Oryctolagus cuniculus: one gene and its partner. The protein of the gene in region 1 interacts with the protein of each later gene in a pairwise test. Links are inferred from orthologs where the notes say so. Each region holds a gene or a part of one and is shown on either strand. Other genes may lie near its edges. The genes, in order: NDEL1 and CENPF.

Region 1 (3,808 bases):
ATGGTTGGGGTCAGGTTGTGAAGAGTCTTTGGTCTGTGTTTGAAAGTCACTCTGTAGGCAAAGGGAAACTCTTTAAAATTTTTTTGAGCAAAGGAGTAATATCAGAGTTATGATTCAAGAAGGTAATACTGAGGCGTTGGAAGCACGGAGAAGTGCAGAACATTTGGGAGTAATCCATTTAGGGAGAAGAAGTAAGGCAGAGAGAAGGTTGAGGAGGAAATAGATTCCAGAGACATTTTGGCAATTGACAGGAATTGCAGAGTAGGTGTTGAATGAATGAGAAATGCAAGATGGAAAAAGAGCTGACAGGAAGTAAGTGAAGTGGAACCTGGGACTTACAATGTTAGAAACAAATTCTTAGCCGGCGCCGCGGCTCACTAGGCTAATCCTCCGCCTTGCGGCACCGGCACACCGGGTTCTAGTCCCGGGCGGGGCACCGGATTCTTTCCCGGTTGCCCCTCTTCCTGGCCAGCTCTCTGCTGTGGCCCAGGAGTGCAGTGGAGGATGGCCCAAGTTCTTGGGCCCTGCACCCCATGGGAGACCAGGAGAAGTACCTGGCTTCTGCCTTTGGATCAGCGCAGTGCGCTGGCTGCAGCGCGCCAGCCGTAGTGGCCATTGGAGGGTGAACCAACGGCAAAAGGAAGACCTTTCTCTCTGCCTCTCTCTCTCACTATCCACTCTGTCTGTCAAAAAAACAAACAAACAAAACAAAAACAAAACAAAACAAATTCTTACATGCTTCTTTATATTCAGAAGTTTTCTTCTGGGGCCAGTGCTGTGGCATAGTAAGGTAAGCCTCTGCCTGCAGCACTGACATCCCATATGGGTGCTGGTTTGAATCCTGGCTGCTCTACTTCTGATTCAGCTCTCTGCTATGGCCTGGGAAAGCAGTGGAAGATGACCCAAGTGCTTGGGCTCCTGCACCCAGGTGGGAGACCCAGAAGAAGCTCCTGGCTTTGGATTTGCCCAGCTCTGGCCGTTGTGGCCATTTGGGGGAGAGAACCAGCAGATGGAAGACACTTTCCTGTCTCTCTCCCTCTGTAACTCTGCCTCAAATAACTTAGTAAATCTTTAAAGAAAAAGTTTTCTTCCTCAAAATTCATAAATGAGACTGTATCATGTTTAAAATCCAGTGAAAATATAAATAGTGTAACAGTTGGCCTTTCTTTAAGGAATTTTAAGGAATTTACTGAATGGCCCGAATGGAAATAGAGACCCTGAATCCACAGAAGGTTGGGAGAAAGACCAGCTCATTCTCTTTGAACTTGGTGGAACAGACTAGGTGAAGAATGTCATGAGATAAACTGACAGTTTCCTTTTGTGTTAGCTGTTTGCACATGTTATTTATTTACTTACTTTATGGACTGTTAATTTTTTTTTCCAGGGCAACAATAGTTTCACTGGAAGACTTTGAACAAAGGCTAAATCAGGCCATAGAACGGAATGCATTTTTAGAAAGTGAACTTGATGAAAAGGAATCTTTGTTGGTCTCTGTACAGCGGTTAAAGGATGAAGCAAGAGGTAAATTTTATAGTTTAAAGAATATTTGTCGGGGCTGGCACTGTGGCGTAGTGGGTTAAGCTGCTACCTGCAGTGCTGGCATCTTACATGGGCGCCAGTTCGTGTCCCACTTGTTCCACTTCCGATCCAGCTCCCTGCTAATGTGCCTGGGAAGGCAGCAGAAGATGGCCCAAGTCCTTGGGCCCCTGTACCCACGTGGGAGACCTGGAAGAAGCTCCTTGTTTATGACTTTGGCCTGGTCCAGCCCTGGCTGGTGTGACCATTTGGGGCGTGAACCAGCAGATAGATGATCTCTTTATCTCTCCTTCTGTCTCTAACTCTGCCTTTCAAATAAATAGAATAAATATTAACAGTATTCTTTTTTTAATCTGACACTAGCCAGGGTAAGCTTAAGAACTGACTTCCTTTCTTTTTTAAAGGTTTATTTATTTATTTGAAAGGCAGAGTTGGAGAGAGAGGTCTTCCATCTACTAGTTCATTCTTAAAAGGGCCGCAACGCCTGGGGCTGCTGGATTAGGCTGAAGCCAGGAGCCTGAAACTCTGTCCAGATCTACCATGTGAGTGGCAGGAGCCCAGTTACTTGGGCCATCTTCTGCTGCTTTCCCAGATGCATTAGCAGAGAGCTGGATCAGAAGTGGAGCTGCTGGGACTTGAACTGGCACCCATATGGCAGTGGCTTAATCTGATGTGCCACAACGCCAGACCCTACTGACTCTTTAATGATTGTTTTTTTCATGACTTTTTCTTTTTCCCTGAGGGATTGGTGTATTCACTTGAAGAGTCTCTCATAATTTACATAGTGTGTAAACCATTCTGTATTTTATTACTGTGGTTAAAAAAAAAGAAGCCACATAATGTTAAATTTACCATCTTAACCATTTTTAAGTGTACAGTGCAGTGGTGTTAGATGTCACGTTGTTGTGGAACAGACCTCCAGAACTCTTGCACCTTGCTCTATACTCACTGAAGAACAGCTTCCTATTTCTTCCTCCCCCCAGCTGCTGGCAGCCACAGTTCTGCTTTCTGTTTCTCTGAGTTCCACTACTTTAGACACTTCTTTTTCTTTTTCTTTTTTTTTAAGATTTTTTTATTTGAGAGGCAGAGTTACACAGAGACACAAAGAGATCTTCCATCTACTGGTTCACTCCCCAAATGGCTGCATCTGCTGGGGCTAGGCCAGGCCAAAGCCAGGAGCTAGGAGCTTCATCCAGGTCTCCCACGTGGGTACAGGGGACCAAGGACTTGGGCCATCCTCTGCTGCTTTCCCAGGTGCATTAACAGGGAGCTGGGTTAGAGGTTTGGCATCTGGGATTCAAACCAGCGTCCATATGAGATGCTGACGTTGTAGGCGGTGACTTAACCTGCTGTACCACAGCATTGGCCCCTGTATCCATTTTCTTTATGCATTCATCTATGAATGAATATTTGGTGTAGGTGCATTTCTTGGCTTATGTGAATTATGCTGCTATGAACACAAGTTTGCAAGTGTCTTCTTGAGATCCTGTTTTGAATTCATTTGGACCTTGGAAGTTGGATAATCTGTATCCTTTTCTGATACAAGGAAATATTCTATACATTAGTTGCCTAACTGGAAAATTTAATTTTGGGTTGAAAATTCAATATTTGAAAGCAAGGAAATTAATTTTAAAGTGATATTATTACTTTATTTAAATAAAGATTTTTATTTATTTATTTGAGAGGCAGAGTTAGAGGGAAAGACTGGTTCACTCTCCAGATGGCCTCAATGGCCAGAGCTGGACCAATCCAAAGCCAGGAGCCAAGAGCTTCTTATGGGTCTCCCATGTGGGTGCAGGGGCCTAAGCAGGTAGGCCATCTTCCACTGCTTTCCCAGGCCATAGCAGAGAGCTGGATCAGAAGAGGAGCAGCCAGGACACAAACTGGCGCCCATATGGGATGTGCTACAGGCAGAGGCTTAGCCTACCATGCCAAAGCGCTGGCCCTTAACTACTACTTTTTTAAAACAAAATGTTTCATAGTGATAATAAAAAATACCAACTCATATAAAATTATAGAAATGCATTTCATTGATTTCACAGTAATCTCCAAACTACAATATTTTAAAGTGAAAGCAAATGAGTTGATGAAGTATTTATTTTTTGGGGGCTGGCATTTGGCATTATGACAGTGCTTGGGATGCAGACTTCCCACACTAGAGTGCCTGGGTTCAAGTCCTGGCTCTGCTTCTAATTCCAGCTTCCTGTTAATGCATACCCTATTAAGCATTAGGTTATGGCTTTAGAAGTTGGGTTCTTGCCCCCTACAGTGG
Region 2 (4,581 bases), on another chromosome or scaffold:
CAAGCCCCAGAACACAGCAATTATTCAGCCTTAGTAAGTGTCAGAAATAGGTTTCCCTTGGTTGTAACGGGAAAAATGCATGGGAGACATGGGTATAGATTTTGCCAAGTTTGCAGATTTGGGTGGCAGGAAACTGAAGATGTTCCTGTTACAAGTCTTATATTTCTGTGAACCATCAGGTAAAGTTGTCCTCTGAGAAAGAGAATGAAGAGATAGTGCTTAGAGGAGATTAGAGAAATTTTGAAATTGGGAGAAAGAGCATTAGAGGTCAAAAATTTAGAGGAAAGACCTAAGAAATACCTGTTTCTAAGGGGTGGGTGAGAATTAGAGAGGTGTAATGAAGACAGTGCCATTTGAATTGTGCGTTGAAAGATTAACCAAAGTTCAACGAAAGGAGAGGAGCAGTCATGCTACAGAAATAGTCTAATGAACAGTAAAGAGAGGAGTATGGAAAATTTGGAGCCTATTGAGGACAATAGCGTCGAAGATGTATTAATTTAGCAATTCGCTGTCTTCAGAATTCCTGCCTTCAGCAGCTTATTTTAAGTGGAATAGGAAAATAAAATAAGTACGCAAAATAGGAGGTGCCTTCAAAAAGTTCCCGGAAAATATATACTATGAAAAAACCACATGTGGATTAAAAAAAAATTTTTTTGCAGCAAAATAATCTTATCTTTTGAATCCATCCTGCCATGAACTTTTTGAAGTCTCCTCTTACATACAAAACTAGTAGCAGTTACATCGAGGTTTTAAGACACTCTTCTGAAGAGTTGGGTCTGCCGCAAGGTCCTCGCCCAGAATCCCAATTAACACATGTTGCAGCTCTTCAAAAATATGGTCAGCGGAGCTAGAATCAGTTTCAAATCACTGAGCTTCTGGGTGACTCCGTTAACTTTTTGTTTTTTTAAAGATTTATTTCTTTGAAAGGTAGAGTTACAGAGAGAGAAGGAGAGAGAGAGAGAGAGAATCTTTCACCTGCTGGATCACTCCCCAAATGGCCGCAACGGCCAGGGCTGGCAGGCAGAAGCCAGGAGCCAGGACTTCATCCAGGTCTCCCAAGTGGGTAGCAGGGACCCCAGGACTTGGGCCATCTTTGCCTGCTTTCCCAGGAGCGTTAGCAGGGAGCTTGGATGGAAAGTGCAGCAGCTGGGGCTCGAACCCCGGGCCAGCGTTGTACGCGCCGGCCTAACATCGTCGGCCTGCCGGCCCCAAACCTCCGTTAACTTGTAAATACTGTGGGAATAATAGTGTCGAGGAGTGGTTACAGACTGACACTGGACTAAGAATGCAGGGCCAGCAAGCATAGCACTTAGTATCAGCAGCCTAAATTTAACATACAAATAGGTACACAGGTGCAGTCTGAGCGCGAAAACCAGACGGCAAACGCCGCAGGCCGGAGGTGAGGAGCCACGCCCTCCTAATCAGCCCGCCCATTCCCTGGCTTTTGTCGGAAATAGCGGTTCTGAGGGCCTCCGGCGTCTGCGGAAGCTCGTGGTCTCCGTTTTTCCGCAACAACAAAAACGCACCTTCACGCGGCGCAGGCTCCTCCCGTAGCGAGGATTCGTTTTTTTCAAATCCCTCCGAAAGGACCAATCCGAGGAGGCATTCTGAGGGCGCGGAAGCGGATTGGCCCACAGCTGCTTACAGCACCCAATAGGCGTGGGGGTCGGGACCGGAAGCGGGCGGTTTGAACTGGACGCTGCGCTCTTACCCTGTGGAGGCTGTGGCAGAATCGGACTTTCGGCGGCAGTTTTGCCTTCCCCGGTGGAAAGGTGAGCGTCCCGCCTGGGTTCCGGCTCCGACCTGGGGGCGTAGCGGAGCCGCTGGCTTTCTGTGCGCGCGTACCGGGCGGGGACGCCCCCGGGCTCGCCCTCTCGGCCCCTGCAGGTGCGGCGGCCGGACCCCTCCCTCCTGACAGGACCGGAGAAGAGGCGGCGGCTGAGGCGCGCCGGGCTCTCGGTGCCTCTCTGCTCGGGGCCCGCCGCGCTCGGTCGCGGATTCGCGCTCCGGGGGGAGCAGTTTTCTCCTCCGGGTCGGGGCCTTTGTGGCATCTAGGAGAGGCGAGCCTGGGTTTTGGGGCCGGGCGGCGTGCGCGTTGGTCGTCACGAGAGCATTTCTGCCCTCCTGGCTTCTTTGTCGCCCCTTTCCCGTGTATTTGGGCGCGCCTGCGTGCCAGGCTCTGCTATGTGTTCAGGCCCCCAAAATACAGAACACGACTGGTTTTCGGCGAGGAACCAGGTCTAGAAGAGGAGACGGGTTTTTTCTTTCTTTCTTTCTTTCTTTCTTTTTTTTTTTTTGGGGGGGGGGGGCTGCTGAGTTCTGATAAAAGAGGGGCACGAAGACCTGCAGCCGTGGGGCGGGTGGGTCTCACTAGAGTTGCCTTGGGGACTTTGGAGGGATTAGGTGGTTCGGGCGTGAAGACTGTCCACATATTTGGGTAGAGAGAGCATTTTCTGGAAAAGATACGGGCCCTTCAAATCCCCCTTGCAGGAACCTTCATGTCCAGAGCTTCTCTTCAGCAGCAACACCCCCCCCCCCCCCCCCCCAGTTCCGCGGATCCCGAAGGAGTCCAAGTCTGCCTCAATCATACTTAGCTTGGGTCTGGCAATTGCTTTAAATAGACGAGTATGTTCTAGCTGTGGAATGGAAGAGCATTGGCCTTGCCAGTCTGGCCTCAGTTTATTTCCCTCATTTCTATCATCAGTGAAAAGTTGCTCTTTTTATACTTGTGCTCTGACGTCTTCATAAAAGGCTTTGAGTGTCTGGCTGAATTGTTTAAGGAAGTGTAACTGTGTGCCTCTGGGGTACTGTATTCCCATCCTGAACAAATAAGCGAAATAGATGTTGGCTATTAAGACAGGGTCTCCTGTCCTTTGTTAGTCGAGAGGTGGAATTTTTTTTATTTTTTATTTATTTTTTGGTTAAATAGGAGTGGGGTTTAAGATAGTGTCTTTCCATAACTGAGACTGCCCCAACAGCTCCCCCTCCCCAATAAAGAACTGGCTGCATATCTAATTTATGTTTTCTAAGGCTTTGCTTCTCCCTCGTAATTTTTAAAAATTTTACTATTTTTAAAAATGTTTACTATTTTTAGTAAAGCGTGTATTTTCAACTTTGTTGTCAGACTAATTGGAAAAAGGGATGGTTTTTCTTTCATTTATGTTAAAAAGGCCAAGGTAAAGAATGATTGTTATCCTTTACTTGCAGTTGATTTTAATTATCTTAAGATGTGTTTGGGAAGGAGGTGGCTACTTGTAACATAGGCTGAAACAACCAAAGGTGTTTTCAGTTACAAATAGAATTGCTAACACTTGTAGAAAGGTCACCAGGAGCTATTATTTAAAATGTTTTAGGAAATATTTTATTAGTATTTTAGAAATGAAGCAGTTAAGGCACAGAGCAGATAAGTAACGTGTGGAGTCACACAGCTTCTAAGTGACTGCTGGGAATTGAATCCTTTCAATCACTAAGGCTGTTTACCTGTTTCTGCTTCATGTCTGTCCAGGGCTTGATTTTGCCACTGTTTAGAATGATTTCGGTAGTAATAATGGCCTTCATTCTTTGCTCATGCATGCATTCATTGGAAGGGGATGGGGATTCTTGTTGCTGTGAGGAACTGGCATGGAATGCAGGGAGTGATGTCCCTACACAAGTCTCCGAGGAGATTTTTTAGGGGGGAAAGGGACAAAATATGAATGATAATTAATGATGTGAAGCTGGAACAAAGAGGATTTGCAAAGTGCCTTGTCATGCATCTTTTTTGTTTTCTGTACCTATTTTACTTGAAAAGCTAAAAGCAAAAATATCCATGTTTTATGTAATGAAAGAAGAAAAACTTGAGTAGTTAAAGTTGTAAGAAGCCAAAACAGAGGGGAAAAAAAAAACCACAGGGGAAATCAAATAAGTATATTACATTCTTCATGATTAGAGTTACTGGTAGTTACCTTTCAGAGGATAGAGAAGATAGAAACATGTCTCTCTCTTTTTTTAAGAAAAATGTTTGTTTTATTTTCATCTACTTGAAAGCCTGAAAAAGATAGCAAGAGAGAGAGAGCACTTCCATCCTCTGGTTCATTCCTCAAAGGCCTTCAACAGCTAGGACTGGATCAGGCTGAAACCAGCAGCCAGGAACTTCACGAGGGTTTCCCACTTGGGTAACAGATACCCAAACACTTGAGCCATCATTTGGTGTACCCTAGGATGCATTAGCAGGATGCTGGATTGGAAGCTGAAGAGCCATGACTTGAACTGGTACTCCCAGTGACTTAACCCTAAAGTACCTATTCCACTTTATTTTCTTGAAATGTAATATTTTTGGGGCCAGCGCTGTGGCATAGCGAGTAAAGCTGCCGCCTGCAGTGCCAGCATCGCATATGGGTGCTGATTGAGTCCAAGCTGCTCCACTTCCGATCCAACTTTCTGCTATGGCTTGGGAAAGCAGTAGAAGATGGCCAAAGTCCTTGGACCCCTGCACCTGAGTGGGAGACCCGGAAGAAGCTCGTGGCTGCAGATTGGTGCAACTCCAGCTGTTGCAGTCATCTAGGGAGTGAACCAGTAGATGGAAGACCTCTCTCTCTCTCT

The links.
Region 2: the proteins of NDEL1 (region 1) and CENPF interact in binary tests that used the Homo sapiens proteins (3 or more experiments, as listed by UniProt). The link is inferred for Oryctolagus cuniculus from reciprocal best matches to the Homo sapiens genes NDEL1 and CENPF.

What each region holds. Positions count from the first base shown.
Region 1 is NC_091448.1:52,897,275-52,901,082, forward strand, and holds part of NDEL1 (nuclear distribution protein nudE-like 1), read left to right. Parts: intron 1-1,384; coding exon 1,385-1,521; intron 1,522-3,808. UniProt on the Homo sapiens protein: Required for organization of the cellular microtubule array and microtubule anchoring at the centrosome. May regulate microtubule organization at least in part by targeting the microtubule severing protein KATNA1 to the centrosome.
Region 2 is NC_091444.1:28,874,599-28,879,179, forward strand, and holds the start of CENPF (centromere protein F), read left to right. Parts: upstream 1-1,502; 5' UTR 1,503-1,772; intron 1,773-4,581. UniProt on the Homo sapiens protein: Required for kinetochore function and chromosome segregation in mitosis. Required for kinetochore localization of dynein, LIS1, NDE1 and NDEL1.